4 linked regions of the Drosophila melanogaster genome follow. The protein of the gene in region 2 interacts with the protein of the main gene of each other region in a pairwise test. Each region holds a gene or a part of one and is shown on either strand. Other genes may lie near its edges.

Region 1 (5,160 bases), on a different chromosome or scaffold from region 2:
GAAAAGCACCTGAGCTTGGCTTCAATTGTCCTGACTTGCGGCTTTTTCTGCAAACTGAATGGCGGCTGGCTTTGACTTGAATTTTAATTTAATTGTGAGCAATTGACAGAAATATACAAGAACCCAATCCAGCACTTCGACCGAAGGATATTAAGACGCTGCCAGCTGGTGTTGACATAAAAACGCAATAAAAATACTGCCACCGAAACGGAGCAGACGTAACAATACACAGTAAAATGAAATAGGAAGGAATAAAAATAAAAAGAAAATATATTCTATGATTTTCTTACATATCACCATTTAAAATATCCTTTAAAATATTTGGAATATACTTTAAATGATATCTTTCTTTCAAAGCAAAAGCCTTAAAATAACGTACATACCTATTACTTATTTTTACCAATATTCCCCTTAAATAAGATTCCATGTTCGGTGTACGTACAGGGTACTTGCCAAAAAATCACTCAAAATCAATTGAATGTGGCCAGCACCGGTTTTCCCGTGGCAATAAGGGAAATCAACGTGAAAATAGCGACAACAATGCGTTTTGTTGCCGCTGCGGAGCAAGTGCTTATTGGATTTCTCGTCGTGAGAAGCGGGTGACAGCCTTTGGAAATCATTACTGGTTGGTGGGAATGGGTGTGGGGCAACTGGTCTGGGTTGTTGCGGGTGCTGAGTTGGGGCGATACAGAGTGGCCCATAATTACTTCAGGACGGTGTGAATCTTGTCCCAATTGCCATGGCGAATTTAAATTTTCCGCAAATAAAACGGCCGTGTGAGACAATCGCATTATTTACCATATACAATTCACGTAAAATGCAATGGCCATTTTCATGCCGTTTCAATGAAAGTAAAGAAAAATACAAATATTAACCACAAAGGCCTTGCTCACATCTGTGGGGGGTGGTTGTGGGCGGTGTGCGGTGGGTGGTGATTGGTGTGCAGTCGCCTGTATTTATGCATTTAAATTCGTCCGTTTCTCTATACGTATGTGTGTTCATATTGAATGGATAAAAGGGATTTGCGTTTATTTCGTTCTGCGTCTGGCCTGTTGGGTTCTTATGTATATATATATATATATATCCATATACGATCTGTCTATATGGCCGATGTCTGCGGGGCCATTTCGGAACAGAACGCAACACGCCGGAAACATTTTTGTTGTGCCATTTGCATTGCCATACAATTTTGCTCAACACATTGGCAGCAACAACGGGCCCATTTGGTTTTATATTTCATAAACCGGGGGGATACGACGAAGGTTTCTGTTTTAAGCGGCAAGTCAGAACGTATAAAATACAATAAATATGTCATAAAATTGTGGGTTGTCACAAACACTTTATATACATTTGTACCGAAAACCAGTATGGGCACCTTTCTGAAACTATATATTCATTCTCTATATTTTCACTATTTTACTAGCTATTTGTATACAGCGTAAGTTCTTTATTACATTCTTTCAATTTACGCTTGTCCAGTCCATCTTAATATTTACTTGTTCTTAAACGAGCACCGGAAATGATCGTTTGAGCTGTGCTAATTGAATGAAATGTTAGACTCGGCTGGGAATTAAAAAAGAACTGCGTATTTTCGTTGACTCATTTCACATTTTTAAATATATTTGGTACCTGGTGATTAGCTACAATTTATGCAAATGCAAGATCATACAAATATTTTCTACAATGGCATCGCGACGAGAGCACGTCTGAGTTTAGAATGCAAATATTAGTGCAATTGTACGTGTCTTTGGCGGTGGCAGCTCCTCAATAAGTTAAAATAAACTATGAACTAAACGAATAACAGTTATTAGCACGTGCACGCAGAAATGAGATGGCACCAGTGGTGGACAGGACAGCCTACTGGACCTTCTTGGCCTCCTTGGGCGCAATGGGTAGTCGTTCGATGGCCTCCTTGTACAGCTGGTTAAGGCCAAAGGTGGCGCGCACATTGTCGCTGGAGAAGAAGAACTTTTGCAGTTTACCCTTGGAATCGACGCAGGGCCTGCGGTCCGTCTCCTTGCCCTGTTGGAACAGGATCACAGTTGGTAGCTGTCGGGAGAAGCTGCTGTCCGAGATGCGATACTTTTGGGCCACGTCCGGAAAGCGTCCAATGTCAATCTTGCCGAACTTCAGGTGGTCCGTGTTGTACTCGGCGGAGAGCTCAGCAAAAACGGGGGCGAAGTTCACGCAGCTGGGATTCCACACCGTGTAGAAGCAGATCAGCCAGCTGGTTCGCTTGTCCCTGGCCAATTCCTCCTCGAAGACCTGTGCGTTGCGGAAGTAGGTGATGTGCTCGGGTCCGCGATACGAGGGCTCCGGCAGCACCATGCCCACCAGGACGCATAGAAGCAGAAAGCCCAGGCCGTAGCGGAAGTCCGCGTAGGCCCACAAAATGGCGTTGGCCACTTTGGTGTAGAGGAACGACGAGGCCAAGTAGTTAATCATGGTGACACTGCCCGTTTTGCGTGACCGTATCATCACCACGATTAGCAGGAAGAACAAGATTTCCACCTCACGACTGTCCAGGTCGCATGCTTCATCCTCTCCGGCGAGAATAAATAGGCGGGTGCAGATGAACTGCGTCTTTTTGGCCAAAAGGTACGATATGGCCAGGAGTATGTTAACCCAGTAGTATGGCTTGGCCAGCAGAGCCATCTGCTTCTTCCACGTCATCTCTGCGTCCGGGGGCTGAATGCGCTGATCTGGGTCACGATTTTAATTAACAATTTCCCGAGTTTTTCTTTTCTTGCTTTTGACAGCCAATTGTTAATTTTAGCCTCGCCGTTGACTAGAAATTAGCAGCCTAGTTGTCTGGCACGGGCGTTGCCACCTGATAAAAGAACAGTGGCACTCTTGTCAGTGCTGGAAATGGTATTAGTTCGTTGGCGCCTTTTCAAATTCAAAATCATCAATTAACAGTTTGCCTTTCTTAAACGTTCTTTGATACGTTTTATTTACTTATATGCATTATTATCTTACAAGTATTTAGTATTTAGTATTTAGCATTTTTTTTAAATGATAATTAATCAAAAGTTAAAACCATAAACAGAACTTGGGACAACCATATTTGTTTGCCCGAAAACCAACCGAAACTGATAAGCGAGTTATTGTTACATCAGCATTTTGCTAAAGTCATTGAGAGATTGTTGACCTAGCACACAAAGGCCACTGCAAAAAAAAGGTAAAAAAAAGGCATCGAGGATCTTCATTATCGGCACACACGCCGAGTTCAAATCTGCGAAAAAGCTTGGCTCTCTACGTGATCTCAGACGCTCGTGGCTTCCATCAGTCGCCTTATCACCCAAATATTATTTTGGCCTTTTTTTTTGTAGTTCCTAAATTAAATGTGTTTGGAACTGTGTGAATACTGTGAGAATTTTGTACCCACTTCATAGAGCATCACCAGTATTATCGCCATCGTGGCTGACTCTCCGCGTTGTGCAAAGATTAATTTTTTTGTAGTAAACACTGTGCGCGTCACTGGACTAAACGATTTATTTTTAATCGTATTATTGAGACCAATTTACGAGGGTCATCTCCATGATCCCCATCGGATCGATCACCCACCTCTTTACTGGTTTCACTAGTAGGCCGTTCTTTGTTTATACAGCGATTATTTTATGTTCAATACACTGGCAAATAAAGTGAGCTTGCTTCTATTTATAGAATATTTTCAACTGTGTTATTAGTAACCTCCTTATCGAATCAAACAACTTTCTCGTGGCTTTATATTTAAATTCAACCAATCATTCACTTTATAGTAAAAAAAGTATTAACAAAGACACTAGAATAAGACAATAGAATAAGAATTCTAGTGTCTTTGGTAATAATATATTAAAAACAATTAACTTAAAACAAAATAAGATTTTTTCAAGTGCACTGTTTTGTACAACTTGATAGAAATGAAATAGGGAATCAATACAGAAAATATTTCGAAAATCCGAGATCATGACTAATCAAAGTCAAATCTAAGGTGTTGATGCTTTTGCACCTTGTCTGCGCCAAAACAAAAATGAAGTGAAAATTTCAGTAAACAACGTGCACTTAGGTCAGTTTTTAATAATATTATAATCACAAATGCCTTTGCCAGCATGCTATAGTGTGTTGGCAGCCGGATTAATCTGGTTTGGAATAAAGTCTCGTAAGATTGTCAGCCATTTGAGTACAGGGACACTCGTGATGGGAACGAGAGCCCTTCATCTTGGCTGCGGCTAAAAAGCAAAACTGGTCTATAGATCCAGGGCTCTGATAGCCATATCAAGTACACAAATCTACTTCCCAGCCCCATCGAAACTTCCCGTAGAGCTTGGAAACAAATAGGCTTGTGTGTGGAAATGACAAAAAAAAAGGCAAAACCAAAACAATGACAACTGCAACTGATAAGTGGCACAAAATGGCGATCACTTGCCGGCTTTATAATCGCGCTATCAAGGCAGCCTGATCTCCTGTCTCCCGCTTATCACTTGGCGGCAGCTCCGAGCCGAACCGATCCGATCCGAACACGCGTTCTATAAATTCCATTCCCAGCCAGGCGACGTCTTCAGTTTAAATCCGAACCCTTGTGCTGAGTGTTCATCTCCGAGTAGCAGACATAGACAATCGCAGACAATCGAGCAAATCCCAGAAAAAACGACAGGCATCAAATGCCAAATCCATCGTGCAAAGCTAACCATTCCAATTGGCCTAATCTGATTCATAGTTGAAATTGTGATAAAAAACAAAAACCAAAGAAACTGGGACACATTTCGATCTAAGCGAAATATCCCCTATCCCACAAACTTTTTCCGGACTTTCAGTTTGGCCTTTGAATGCTGCTGCAGCAGTGCGGAAAAATCATCAATCTCGATCAGCATTTCACCGAGTGCTGGAATACAAGCCCATTGCGAAACTTTGACTTCATCATCTCCCTTCTGAGCGTTATTTCCCTAAGTGGTGGGTGGTGATTTTAGCCATGTATTTACAATGTATAACTAACTTTTGATGCTCCTCCTCCGCCTCCAGTTGTTAAGATGGCCGCCATTCCACAAGGTGCATTCGCAGCCTGCAAGATTCGCGAGCAATTCAACGAACGTGAGCTGATCATCGCCCGTCTGAGGTCCGCTGCCGCAGATAAGGGTTCCGTTGACAACGGGAACGCCCTAACCCGTAAGTGCACATGAC
Region 2 (4,131 bases):
AGGATTTGCCAGTCGTGTTTGTGTTGTGTTTTTTTAGAGAGAAACGTGCTCGCCACGCCAGGAATTGTGTAATTAGCGGGCCATCAAGTGTTCAGTATTAAGCACCCCCACTAAAGTATTACAACTCGAGATCATTCGACAGCGATCCCTATCAACCAACAGAAAAACCATCGATATGGCGTCCAGAAAAGTGAGTTTTTTTTTTTGTTGTTTTGTGGGCCTAGGGTGGCCCTTATCCGATCGGCAAACGTTGCATTTCACCCACACGATTTTCCACGATATATTCACGACGAAAATGGAGGACATGTGGTTCTCATTACCTGTTCATAAAAACTAAATATTTGTCAATTTATTTTTAGTCCAATGGGCGGTCGAAATTTGCTCACTTGCGCCTTCGCTGTGCAAATGTTGGGTGTAATTTTAGTTTCAAATAAATTCAAATTAATTAAAATGGAAGTGCAAATTTATTTAGCATTTCATTGGCGGCGTTCGTCGACGCTGATTCATGCGATTCCCCAGCGATGCAAGTGGCGCCTCACGTATTCATCGTCACTTGGCCGCCGTTTTTGGCCCGATTTGAAATGTTTATTTCCATATAAGGGTATCCTCAGCCAGACGCACTTGTTCCATATGGCCAGCTGTCCCCGAGCAGCTCCACTTCCTTGTGGAATGTAGTGAAGGTTTCGAGTCCAAAATATACGATTGTTATACGCATTGAACCTTGTAGAAGTGCTATTTAGGTGTTTGAAGTTTTTGGGATTGTTCTATATTTTTATTTTACTCAAAAATATGAATATTTTGAAGCCATATTATTTATAAAAGAAATATAATTTCTTGGCGTCAGCTGATTCACATGGAGTTGCTGTAGTTGTTGCCGGTATTTCAGTTGTACTTGCAGAACCCCAATCAATGTTCTCCGTTGTTGTTGTTGTTGTTGCGGCAATTGCAACAGCTACCATGGTGCACAAAAGGAGGAGGATGGCAAAAAACTTCATGTTGCTAACTTTAAATCGAAACTGATATTTCACTCAACATATTTTGCCCTTATATACGAATAAGACTTCAGAACAATTGTTAACACAAGTGCTTGCAAGATTTGATGGATGAAATGGTGGATGGAGTGATGGATTAGGACAGTTGAGTAAATACTCTAATTTGCCTTTCCAAAAATAAATGTACACGTGGCAAATGTTTAGCACGTGTAAATATACAGTACACGTTTTAACCGGATTGGTTATGATTTTCTTAAACAAGTGCTTTATATTAATTATTTAAAGTATTTTAAATCGTAAGCTGAGTTTATGAGGAACATTAGCATTAGCTAGAGCTTTGTTATTTACCTAACAAATTAATCGTCAACTTATACTCGTTAATTGTAGAGTATAAGGGTATACTAGGTTTGTTTAAAAGTATCTAAAAGCTATAAGAAATCGTTTTCTAACTTATATAACTTATTCTAACAGATCTCGGAAACAATAATGCTAAAAAGTTAACAGTATTATTATTATTGCTATTATTATTATGCATAATTATTAATAATTATAATGATTCTATAGAAGTAGACGCAGCGCAAGTTGGTTTTAAAATGATGTCTCGCCCACTCTTACGTCATAAACTATCGAGAGCTGAGTAACGGGTATCAGATAGTCGAAGAAATCTACATTCCTCTTCTTTGTTTTATTTATAATTATAGTTATATTGCAAAATGTCATTGGTTAACGCTTGGTAAACCATAATTTTAAGGCTGAGTAAATCATTAAAAATGGCTAATTGATAGGTCTAAAACTTTTTTCACTTTATTGCTTCAGAATAATTAACCTAGTTAGAATTAATTTAGTAGAAGAAGTAAAGTTTCTTGCCGCAAAGGCCACCAGGACCTCCCACGCAGGGCGGCAGTGGGGGAGGGACTTGTCCACAGGGTCCTTGGGGTCCGCTGCCACATGGAGGCTGTGCCAAGGGAGCTAGGGTAGTGTCAGATGCAGGGGCGGTAGTGTCCTGTTCCGTAGTTGAATCAGATCCGTAATCATAGTCCGCAGAGGGTGACGTAGAAGCAACCATGGCAAATCCTACAATGCCGCAGAAGAGGAAGAGAACAGCGAAAAACTTCATTTTGATAACTCCGTAGATGCAGTGGTAATTTACTGCCAAAACCTCGCGAATATATACTTTTCCTTTTTGGCTAGTCAAATATTATGACAATTGCGAAAAATTTATTTTCCATGACAAGAGTAAAAAATCTCATTAAAAGAAACAATTGGGCAAACATCAGAGAACGTAATCATGGAATTATTTTATTGTCTAGATATAGATTAGCTTTGTTTTTGGCGAGTAGTGTGGTTAGGAAAGTGAGTGCCTTATAAGGATAACTCCCTTGGGGAATTTCGCGAAGGACTCCACAGAGCCAAAAAAAAAAAAAAAACAACATTACTCATACTCATCATATGTATGTACATAGCTACCCGTTTTGACTTTGACTCATTTGGCTAAAATTAACAATTCCTAACCATATCGAGAAGGTCGCTGGTTGTCAGCCCCATTTGCTTGGCTCATTCACTTGTCTGGCCGACGCCGTGCATTTGCTTCTGCCTTTCGTTTTTGCATTTGATCAGGCGGAAAAAAGGGGGAGTGGAATTAAAAGGCACTGCCAAAAGCAATCCTCAAATATGCCAAATATTTACCAGAATTATTTGCTCTTCCCTGGTCATGGGCGTTGGTGTGGGTGTGCAAGGGGATCATGAGTCACTTTATTTGGGTTCACGTTCTGAAAAAGGGTCGGGATTTGAGAATTCCAGGGCTTGGCCCCCCTATATATACGAATATAACTACATACATATATACGAATGGTAATGCTGCCGACTAAAATAGCAAATATTTTTAAACATTACCAATGGCTTTTGTGCACTAAAACGAATAAAATGAATCGTTTTATTCTATGACTGGTTTATTAGTCACTGATTTACTGGGTAATATTATTATCGCTCCGAGCTTACGCTTATGCTACTAATGTTGTTTTGATGGCAGATTAATATTGGGTGTTTTTTAAAATTTTAAATAAATATAAAGTAAAAAAAAACATAATGGAATTGAAATAGAAAAATTGAATGGAATGGAATAATGTCGTATAAACCTGTTATATTTTAACAAAAAACTTTATTTTGGGTAACCACTCTTTGAAAAGCCGATTATTATTGGTGCATACTTTGGGGCATATCGAAGTTCTTATAAGTTATAAAATATACATATTTAACTTTACGCTCTCACACTGAAACTGAACTTGAATCTGTTAATAATTTTCTTTCGAAAACTGGTTTTGTGTGCTGGCTGAGAAAAAGACATTTTTAAGAGAACACAATTCTCAAAATGTTAAAGAGAAAGAAAATGCTCTCTTGTTTTATTTTTTGTTTGCCGCTCTCTCGCCCCTCTCTTTATTCAGCAAATCAGCTGATATGGCGGATCCGAATGCCGGTGATCGGCGACAAACTTCAACGTTTAAAAATAAGAATTTATTTAACGGTGGTACGTGCTCGAGTAACAACGCTGACGGTCCCGGATCGGCAAATTTAACGCACGGCGGTGAATTGGTGCAAAACGCGAATTATACAAACGGTCAAACGACGCAGGCGACCATATTCCTCAGCAACAATAACAACAGCAGTAATACGGGCAACCACTACTACAACAACAGCAACAGTCACGGCAGAAAGAACGCGCCAAATTCGCAGCAAAATCAGCAAAACGCGTGTGTTTATACGACCAGCAATAGCAACAATAACAATTTGGAGCACAACTTTAGCAACTTACATTTCTACGCCCAACAGCCAGCCGCACACTACGACGTTTGCCATCAACAGGTGTGTGTGTGTGTGTGTGTGCGAATAGAGTGCGGCAGTGTGCGTGAGCCACAGGCGAACTTCACTATGATGAAGTTTCAGGAAACTCCCGGTCATTCGAAAATTGATTGTCGCGAATCAAATTCAAAAATCAAATTCCCTTAATCGAAGTCTTTAAAATATTCCCTTATTTTACGTTTGAAAAGAATGAAAGATAACCGTAGATTTTTAGGAATTCCTAGGAGTTTATCATTCTGAGAAACACCTTTTTTTTAAAGGATTGAATGCTACACATTAGAAG
Region 3 (4,552 bases), on a different chromosome or scaffold from region 2:
GGCGCAGAGGAAAAGCGTGAGAAAAGCTATAACTGTGCATCCAATTCGTAGTTTCATACAAAAACAGAAATTTTCCGCTCGCCACATTTCATTAAACAATTGTTTTTATTTACATGTAATTTCTTTTTGATGACGATTAATCCAATGCTATACAGTTGCAGTTGTGAATAAAAAACAAATTACTTAAATACTACGTGTAAAGAGTTATTCTCCTTAGTAGTTATTACTCCATATTTTCAGTTTCCCTCGGTTTTAATTGCCGATAGTACGAATATATTATGTACATGAAATACGCTGTCATTGCTAAAATAAAATAAGTTATTTACTTTTCGTTTTGTATATACTACAATTAGCTCCCACTTAGCCAAAGAAGCACGTAAATCCAATAGGTTAAATTATGCCAAGTGCTCTCATTTATTATTAAATTCGAACCCATAAGTGCTGAAGCTAAACTGAAAATAAGAAAGAAGACTGCCTGAAATGCTTGAAAGAATAGAGTTGTCCAAAACAGCCAACCATATTGCTAAATACATATATTTTGTAAAAACCATCTTTAATTATATTATATACATACCGATAAGACTGCAAATATTAGCATGAACGATGCCAAGATAGTTAACAAATCGGGAGACATTTGTATCACAGTGTAGAGAGCTTGTTCTGGGTAATAAAACTAGATTATCAAATGGAATCATTGGAACTGCTTAGTCACTAAATTACCTGGGAATTTGTGCTGCATTTCTCTGAAATAGGTTCCTATCAAAACATTAAATTTAATGCAAAAAATAATACTAATGCCAATGTGAATATATATTTACTATTTAAACAAAGGAGCATATAGTCAATGTTCATGCCAGCCAAAAAAATTCCAGCCAATGCAATCAGTATACATCCCATTTGCAAGGATATACAGAAGCAAAATTTTTTAGCCAGAATCATAATTTCAGACGTTTTGACAGGAAATGCAAATAAGATATTCTGCAAAATATTTTTATTTTTAGAATTTCTTTTAAGCCTGAATGTTAAAAAATTATACGTATATTTTAAATTATCAAAACAATTCTTTGTTAATTTCAATGTACAAGATTTGTTTATGAACCACAAGTCGTATACGTAATTTATGTACATTGCAAAACTTTTAAGCAAATACTCATGTTTAGCTCGCCCAGATGATGGCGCCAAATTTAAACGAAATTGCCTTCACATTTTCCGCCATATCTTCTTTATTGTGGTATTAACTTTTTTGCATAATTACAACTTAAGCAATCTGTATTATGGCCTCATTAGCATTAGCCTAGAATTTCCAGCCCGATGTGTGTCGTGTTTGTCAGGCACGCGTGGAATCGTTTTCAGTTCTCATCAAGATGCTAATGAAATTATAAAGAAAATTGAGTCTGCCATATTAGCACAGTAAAAGCATCATCCTCTCACTTGATGAGCATGGGGTAAAGAGCACGAAATGCTATTGCTTTTCATCATCTTAAAAATCAATTTCGCTGATCTCAATTTAATTTTTAAGGACATCCTCTCATTTATCCACACAAACTGGTCTGAATTCATCTGGATGCGCTTTTACATAATAATACGTGTAGACTTTGAGCAAACAAAATAAATCGATTCCTGAAAAGCTGGAGCATAACTTACGAGAATAGAGATTTTTAATATATATGTTTACCCAACGTCACTAAATTCACGAAAACATAAATAATCGCAGAGACAGCACTTTTAAAGAACGGATTGCGAACATTTATCAAAGCATTGAAGATGATGTAGTACGATATCATATGAATGATGAACATGGCCATCCACACGAAAACGATCCTTAAGTACTTCTAAAAGGAATTTTATTAGAATTAAAAATATTGGAAGTGATTTTCTTACCGTCATAACAGATATCAGCAGGATAACTGCAGCTGCGATCATCAGAGCTATATGAAATACATTGAACCATTTCGCATAAACATCAGTCTTGAGTGCTGGTATTTGGGTTTAGATGCTGTTCTTAAAATTCAGGTTTCCTTACTTTTCCAACTCACTGTTCTTGTATATAACCTCATCCACAGTAGTGCCTGCGTTAAGGAATCCGAAAAACAGTGTGTAGAATGAAACTATGATGCATCCAGAAGTCAGCGAGATGCAAAAGCAAAATTCTTGTCTGACCAGCTTTCTTAAAAATGGCATCAAAAATAGGAAAAATACGTTGCTATAAATTTTAGAAAATACAGTTCCATGTTTGACAAATAATGCCAACCGCTTTCAACTTTTAAACTCCATAAACTTCAACTTTCTTTCCATCAGCTGGCGAAACTGAATTGCTGCATCTCCTCTGGTTTTAGGTCACTGCAGTCTTCTGTCATTTTCAACAAAGTTTCGAACGACCTCGACCTCCCACGGAAACTTTAGCCTTTCGGAAAAGTTAGACAAAGTCCCTTGGTCTCTATTTTTTTCTTCATTATTATCCCCTGAGCAAAGTGAAACTGCTGCCTTTTCCTTGCCTAATGCGTTAATTGAAAGCAGCAGCCGTCTAAAAATTATGTTTTCAATAGACTGGAAAATAGGGGGTGATTTCCGAGGCTTGGGGTTTGGGATTATTAAAGATAGCTCGCATCATGGACTTACTTGAAGTGTTAAAGAGGATTTGTGTTGGCAAAAGTTCACTAATTTAAATTTAGTTCAAACAGTGACAAAATATGTTGCAAAGGGAATGCATTGGGCTTAAATTCCATAAATTAAAAAAGATGTTATTACCAAACAAGAATTGATTGGGTGGCTCAAGGGCAATATTTCATGGAAATGTGAAGACGAAGCCTAATAAGACAATATTAGATGGTGGTTTACTAATGAGCCTAATCAGATTAGTGTATTGTTTCCCAGACTTGATTATCTTGGTGCACCATATGGTTGATTTATTTTTGATTGATTGCAGCATCAATTTATTTGTCATCAATACCAACATGTTGGTGTTGATGCCCCATTAAATGTCAGGGAGAAAGAAAAAAAAAAAACAGAAAGTAGAGTAAGTTCAAAAAAAGGACATGTCACATATCATAAGCACCGCTCGAAGCTCCCAGCCAATACACAGATCGATGGAATCTCTTTCATCCACTTCCAGCAGCCACTGGCAGCTCATCTATCATCATTGCCACGAGTCCTTTCTATCCCGGAATGCTTCCACAGTATCCTGTATACTCTCTGCCCCGCTTGACACCCTTGCACCCCATCCCTGCCGTATTTATAGCATCTTAATTGAATTTCAATTTTCAATTTCGCTTTTAATTGAATTCAATGAAAAAGTGTCGATGAGACGGTATTCAGCATTGGTCCCATCCCCATCCCCATCCCCATCCCCATCCAACCATCCGTCCATACCCCCAGAACCCCATCCCAGCCCACTCCCATTCCCTGCACTTGTTGTTGATGCTGTTTATTCAGCTGCCAGTTGAGCACCGCCTGGCTGCCTCTTGATGGCGCCATTCACGCCACAAAGCGTACCGTCCCCACTGAGCTCCCTGCACTTAGAAAAAAAAAATCATTACCATCCTGGTCATTAAATATCAAACGGAATTAGCCATATTATTGCGAAGTCCGTATAAAAATAAAAGAAAATAAATAAAGGCATACAGATGTAATTTTATATTTTGGTATAATTTTAAATAAAAATGCAATCATTCGATTTTTCTGTGTACCTTCGAAATAGGTTTCAAACACCCAAAAACGAATTGTTTTTTGAAATTGCTGTTCCAATTATTTGATCCACAGCAAAATTCACCTGGTTCGTTAATTTAAAAGTAGAAGAATATTCGTTGATAGTGTATTTACTATTTAACAGGTTGAATGGAATATATTCTTGATTAGGATCACTAGCCGAGTCGATCTGGCTTTGTCCGTTTATCTGTCCGTTCGTATAAGCGAAAAATCTTTCATTGCCGCAATTTAAAAATGTACAATATAAATAAATGTATTGTATTTTATTATTGTATTATTGAACTAATTGTTTCTCACCAACTTATATTATTATGGCAAACATATTGTGAAATTTCTCCCTCGCACTCCCGCTATCTTAGTAAAGGGTATCTGCTAGTCGAGGAAATCGAGTTTATCGTTTGCTCTTCTTTTATATTGCTTATTATTAGTTTTATTGTTCGTTATTAATATCTATTTCTATTATTTATTTTAAATGTATGGTACTCCTTTATGATATCCTTGATTTTTTAACAGGCCTCTGATTTTTCCCAGTGCACATTTAGGTGTACTAAAACGACCAACAAATGGCTGGATGTGATTGCGCTCATATTTTGCACTCTGATTGGTTTGTGATTGACTGAAAAGTTGTAAATTGATTCGACTGTGGGCAAGTGTGTACCAATGCCAGATAAACAAACCAATTTCGGTGGTTAGTGGGTTCAGCAATAAAACACCCAATAGTTGATCCCCCACACTTGCGGGCCCATAATTGCGGTCGGTGGTGTTTGATGTTTTACAACGATAATTTAATCACAGAACTTACAGTGATAGTAGGAAGCAAAGCCCTTGGGTTTTCTCACCAGTCAGC
Region 4 (5,495 bases), on a different chromosome or scaffold from region 2:
ACTGCCGTTACTGCCTTTCCCCCACACCACCGCCTTTGCAGCCCCCTCCCACACCACTGTACGCACGCACTGTCTGTCCCGTTACCAATATACCGCTGTGTCTGTCTTTTTCGCTCACATGTGCTCATGTGGCCTTTTGATTTTCATGTTCAGTTTTCTCTTTGTCTTAATCAATATATTTTGTGGTCGGCTAGTAAAAAGTTGATGGGCTAAGTGGGCTTTTAGCCCCATCGACTGGTTAATAAACATTTTGCAAGTGCACTTACACAATTGAGCCGCCGTTGTTGTTGTTTGTTTGTTTGACGGTGGGCTTTCCTCCTTTAGCTGGCTTTTCCAATTTGTGTACTTTTTGCAGTATTTCTCATATTTGCACACTCGGTTTTAACTTGGCTTCGAATCAGTTATTCAATGCATTTCTTTCATTTTTGTATATTTAATTATTTTTTTTACACCAACACATACGCAAAGTCTCGCAGGGATGTATAAAAGTAACTGTTGTCCTTTGCCTTTTCACGTAACTTTTGCAACTGCGCCCAAAATGGAAATTTTGTACCAGACAGCTGGGCACCCGAAGGAGTAAGAGAGACGGATGTGAAGAGAGAGTCCTGCGAGAGCGAACAAGTCGCAGAGGGGCGAGCGTGATGTAAATGTATCTAATTACTTTCACCTCCTTAAGCATAAACTTGGTTCAATTTATGAAATCTTTTAAGTTACTTTCTGCTTGATAGTTATTCATAATTGTTATATTATAATGAATCTTCGCACATGCGGCATTTCTGCGCAAGTGCTTGAAGAGAGTGAACAAGGGAGAGAGCGGCAAGAACAAGAGAAATGGCAAACAAACAAAAGCCACAGACACAGCTGTCTTATCACAGGGCGGTTTTCTGCCACCCCCTTTTGACTGATAGCAAAGACAACCGTTACTTGTGGGTTGTGTCTTCGATAATTCAATTCTTATATTTTTATACATATTAAGCATTTATAACAAGAGAGAATGCTATAGTCGAGTTCCCCGATTATCAGATAACCGTTGCTCCGTTACTAAATTAATATATTATGTACATTTAAAACCGCAAACTGTTAGAAACTTGGAGGAAAAAGTATATAAGAATCTCGTATATCTCCGACATAATTATTGAATTTATTTCTTATTAATTCAATACAAGTATGCACCTATGTACGCATGTATAATTTATCATTCTATAAATCAATATCTGTTTTAATTAGCTGTAAGAATAAAAAGAATAAGTTCCTTCAAAAACTTTAATATGCAAAATAATAGTCTTTAAATACGGGGAATGCATAGTTTATTAGGTTGCCATTTGTTTACACTTCCTTTAAGATTAAGACCCAAGCTTTCTAGCATGGTATAAATAAATAATCTGTCACTTATCATTCTATTAATCAATTACACTTTAAATTACATTTTCATATAGTTTGGATACTAAACTACCCTCAGGTCCATCCTATATGATTCTCTCATATGTTGCATTTCCTAACTTTCCATTTAGATTAAAAGGCCTTCACGTTACTCGATTTGTGTCCCTGCCCTGAAAGGATTCCCCGTGGACGAAGCTAAACCTAATACGGGTTGGGTTCAAGCAGACATACAAACAATGCTTCTGAGAATACAGATCTTATTAAAAATATACAAGTATATAAACTATAATTTTCCAATTGTCTTAGCCTAGCCTATGCACGGATGCATAATCCAAGTTTTGTTGATCCTCTAAGCGGAGCTAAAGCTTTCGTAGACGTTGGCCCCCAGCGTCTTTGTCTTCTCGGCGACCACGTAGAAGGTTAGCAGTTGGGTGGGCAGATTGTGGGGTCGCGAAGTGGTATCGAAGCCTCTCGAGGTGAGACCACTGATGATAGGAATGAGCTTTGCCAACGCCAACAGCACTCGGTTGATGTTCAGCAAGTTATTGTTCTCCAGACCGTTTTGGCTCTTCGAGGTGCTGGCGCCTAAGCTTCCTGCCTGGTTAAACTTGACGCTCTGTTCTTGCTGCGTTTGGACTTTAGCTTGTGGCAGATGCTGCAAAGTTTCGCCCATGCTTTCGGCGATGGCATCGCAGGCCAGCACAAAACCACGGCTTACATTGTGCGAGCACACGCCAACGGCATCCTCGCTCTCCAACAGATCCAGCGTCTCGTTGACCATCTTTTGCAGCAGCGGCGAATGACTGGGATTCTGGCTGGGCAGCAGATACTTGCTCATTCGCGAGTTGGGATCCCGACGAGTGTCCGCATTGATGGCCATTTGCAGTGACCAAAACAGTTGCTCCAGGTCGCTAAGGGAAAGCTGTTCGGAGAGCGGTATGGTCTTGGTGACTGCGATGACCTGGGTGCGAATGTAACGGGCTAAGTCCCGGATGCCCGAATCCGTGATAAAGTGTCGGATGAGGGAGAGATACTGCTGCTTTAGCTCGTCGGTGACTTGTTTTTGTTCCGTCATGATGTCCCGATAGATGTAGCCACCGAGAAGATTTAGCTGGACCCTCAACGCAATAACCAGCATGGAGGAGGCGTAGACATAGGTTGCCAGTCTTGTGAATGCCACAATTTTCATGTCCTCCCAAAGTTCCAACTTGTTCTTGGGATTCTGGCGCAGCTGCTCGAGCAGCTCGTCCGTGCTGCACTCCCTCAGAACCGCTTGGCACATCTCCTCGCCCATGCCTAGGATCACCTGGTTACACGTCTTCTCCGTCGACTCAAAGTGGGTCGTGCGCCGCGTTCTCTCGAAGAATTCCCTGGCCTGTTTCTCCTGGAACTCCACGAATCGCCGTTGTGCATAACGTGCCGCAAAGATGGTACCGCCCACCAGAACGCCGGTCACTATGAACTTTCGCCGGTGGCGTGACAAGAAGTCCTGCAGGCGCGACAGCATGTTAACGATTGGAAAAGGCCTCTTCTGCCGGATGGACAACTAGAATCCGCTTCCTGTGTGAAATAGGCCAACTGCTGTTCAGATATCCCACTTTTTCCCGCTCCACCGGCGACCTGTTCGAGGTTAATAAATAGTTAATGTGCAAAGTTCACCTGTGTGCGTAGGGTGGTGCGCTGCCGGCGTCGCTGCCAACAGAGGAGCGTCCTCCACTCATCCGCAGCGATTAGATTACCAGGTAGTGCTCACCTATATACCCCTGCTCGGAAACTCGGATCTGGTGCGCCGCCTTATCGGGTCGATTGCTGGCCTTTGGATCGGATCTAGCTCTGGAATGTATGGAATGGATTTATCCTTTGTTGTTGTCGCTAAATGTGTTATTTCTCTGTTTGGTGCCGCATACTGCGTCGTCTGTTTCCGTTCAAGAAAAATCCCAAAAGTGCGAGGTTCGGGAATACCGAAAAATACCATTTCGTTTAGTATATTTGGTGTTACTGTTTAAATTTTTATTGAAAATGGGGATGCTTTTTAGTTATTTATTTTTTCGTTATTTCGAAGTGGGTTCAAAAAAAAATAGAAAATATAAAATAATGTTAATTCACCTATAAATGACGAAAAATAAAAAACTTCGATATGCTCCAATTTCCACCGTTCCGCCATCGTCGCAAACATTTGAAACGCATGATTCAAAGGGTGAAGAAGAAGATAGAAATCATATGGTATTTAAGATAGTTCTGTTGTTGGTGGGGGGTTTAGTTTAGTTGGGGTGTTTGTTATGGCGTCGTCAGATCGAAAGCTCATTGTAGTCTCCGGATTTGGTCCATTTCTCGGTCACGAAGCGGTCAACGCCAGCTGGGAAGCTGTGAAACTGCTGCCGGAAATCCTAACTCACGATGGCATAGAATATGATCTGGAAAAGCGGTTGGTTTCGGTGGAATACGGGGCTGTGGACGAGGCGGTGGCGGAGATTTGGAAACGCCAGCCATATGTAAGCATCGCAATTGAACCATAAATAGATAGAGGCCTTATGATATCATCTTTCTCCCAAAAAAATAAAAAACAAAAAAAAAACAGCTTGTTATCCATGTCGGTGTTTCGGGCGTTGCCAAGTGTGTATACATCGAGAAGCTGGCGTACAATCACAAGTTCCGCCGAGCTGATAATTGTGATAAAAAACTGGCCAACGGCACTTGCGAACTACCCAACAATGGACATGCAAATGTCTTGAAGACCGAATTAGATGTGGATAAGATTGTGGCGGTTGTAAATGAGAATTGCGCCGATTGTGTGGGACCCACACAACAGCCGACACATAATGATAATCTCAAATCCCTGAGCGCCACAAAGGCATCCAAAAATGTGGGTGACTTTCTCTGCGGCTATATCTATCTGAAATCGCTCGATATGGACAGAAAACGAAGCCTGTTTGTCCATGTACCTCCTGTAGATAGGCCATTTAGTAGTGTTAAGACTTCGGAAATACTTTTTAGCATAGTCGAACAATGCATTCAACAGGTGGTCGCTTTTGACTCCTGAATTCCGCAAAATATTCTTCCAATATCTGTCTTTTTAAGAATTATTTACATGTGTGCTGTTAAGTTGTTTAAGAAATGAGTTTTATTCTTTTTAAGATACAATATTTTATATTTACTTTTTATTACAATGAAACAGAGAAGCAATACAACTGCATTAATAATTACACAGTCTTTTTTGCGTTTACACAACACCAGTCTTTATTTTAAAAAGGGTAAATGACATAAAGAGAATGACGTAAGTTATTTAAAATAAAATTTAATAAAAAAAATGAATTAAAAAGAAGAATTATAAGGCCTTTACAAATTGCCTTATGTTAAATACAAGTTAACTTATATACAATACAATACGATACTATTTATATCACAATATTTTAAAATTATGGTATTCGAAAAAACCGTAATATTTAAAAAAAAAATAGTACATTACTGAATTAGTTAAATATAAAAATAAAACTTCAAATATATAAACGAGATCCTAAACTAAAAAAATTTACCTTCGACGATTGCCAACCTTTGGGCACCCAAGCGCCACCTACAGTTCAATGCTCATTCATTGACAAATATCGATATTAGTAAAATTTATCGGAAACTTGTAGAGAAATACCAAAAATCCCTCACCTAATTCAGCTTTATATGTATATATCTCTGCGTTTCACTGTCACTTGAATTCATTTGAATTTCTACTTGCAACCGGGCAAGTTCAGCGCAGTTCGAATCCCAGTTTTGGTTGGCGAGTGTGCTGCACCCACATAGGGCAATAGATTCAATAAATATCAAACGACGACGAGTGCCCGCAATGAAATTCCTGATCTGTGCACTTTTCTTGGCGGCGTCCTACGTGGCCGCTTCCGCCGAGGCGGAGGTCAAAGTTGAGGAGGGTGTTCTGGTGGCGACGGTGGACAACTTCAAGCAGCTGATTGCCGACAACGAGTTCGTGCTGGTCGAGTTCTGTAAGTACATGCTTAGATCGAAAATAAGGCACGAAAATCTCAACAAAATGTGGCAAAAATCGAATATCAAAATGCGAAATGCGCCGGCCGCTAGCGCGCTCTCACTCGCACCCGCTGATTCATGCG

Evidence for each region.
Region 1: the proteins of CG42779 (region 2) and CG11007 interact in a two-hybrid assay, tested with the Drosophila melanogaster proteins (one large-scale study listed by BioGRID).
Region 3: the proteins of CG42779 (region 2) and CG42263 interact in a two-hybrid assay, tested with the Drosophila melanogaster proteins (one large-scale study listed by BioGRID).
Region 4: the proteins of CG42779 (region 2) and Pex3 interact in a two-hybrid assay, tested with the Drosophila melanogaster proteins (one large-scale study listed by BioGRID).

What each region holds. Positions count from the first base shown.
Region 1 is NT_033778.4:19,500,701-19,505,860, reverse strand, and holds CG11007 (uncharacterized protein), read right to left. Parts: upstream 2,794-5,160; 5' UTR 2,674-2,793; coding exon 1,858-2,673; 3' UTR 1,267-1,857; downstream 1-1,266. Other genes in the region: CG16926 (uncharacterized protein), read left to right, coding at 4,809-4,932, 5,002-5,145.
Region 2 is NT_033777.3:17,118,457-17,122,587, reverse strand, and holds CG42779 (uncharacterized protein), read right to left. Parts: upstream 1,012-4,131; 5' UTR 996-1,011; coding exon 810-995; 3' UTR 501-809; downstream 1-500. Other genes in the region: CG34278 (uncharacterized protein), read right to left, coding at 1,834-2,109; cher (cheerio), read left to right, coding at 3,434-3,851.
Region 3 is NT_037436.4:19,953,572-19,958,123, forward strand, and holds CG42263 (uncharacterized protein), read right to left. Parts: upstream 2,229-4,552; 5' UTR 2,182-2,228; coding exon 2,037-2,181; intron 1,977-2,036; coding exon 1,882-1,976; intron 1,833-1,881; coding exon 1,676-1,832; intron 1,621-1,675; coding exon 1,529-1,620; 3' UTR 976-1,528; downstream 1-975. Other genes in the region: CG42655 (uncharacterized protein), read right to left, coding at 1-87; CG42654 (uncharacterized protein), read right to left, coding at 224-303, 361-523, 575-660, 721-756, 819-939.
Region 4 is NT_037436.4:15,142,174-15,147,668, reverse strand, and holds Pex3 (peroxin 3), read right to left. Parts: upstream 3,315-5,495; 5' UTR 3,120-3,314; intron 3,001-3,119; 5' UTR 2,888-3,000; coding exon 1,730-2,887; 3' UTR 1,290-1,729; downstream 1-1,289. Other genes in the region: CG32147 (uncharacterized protein), read left to right, coding at 3,660-3,872, 3,959-4,420; Pdi (protein disulfide isomerase), read left to right, coding at 5,216-5,369.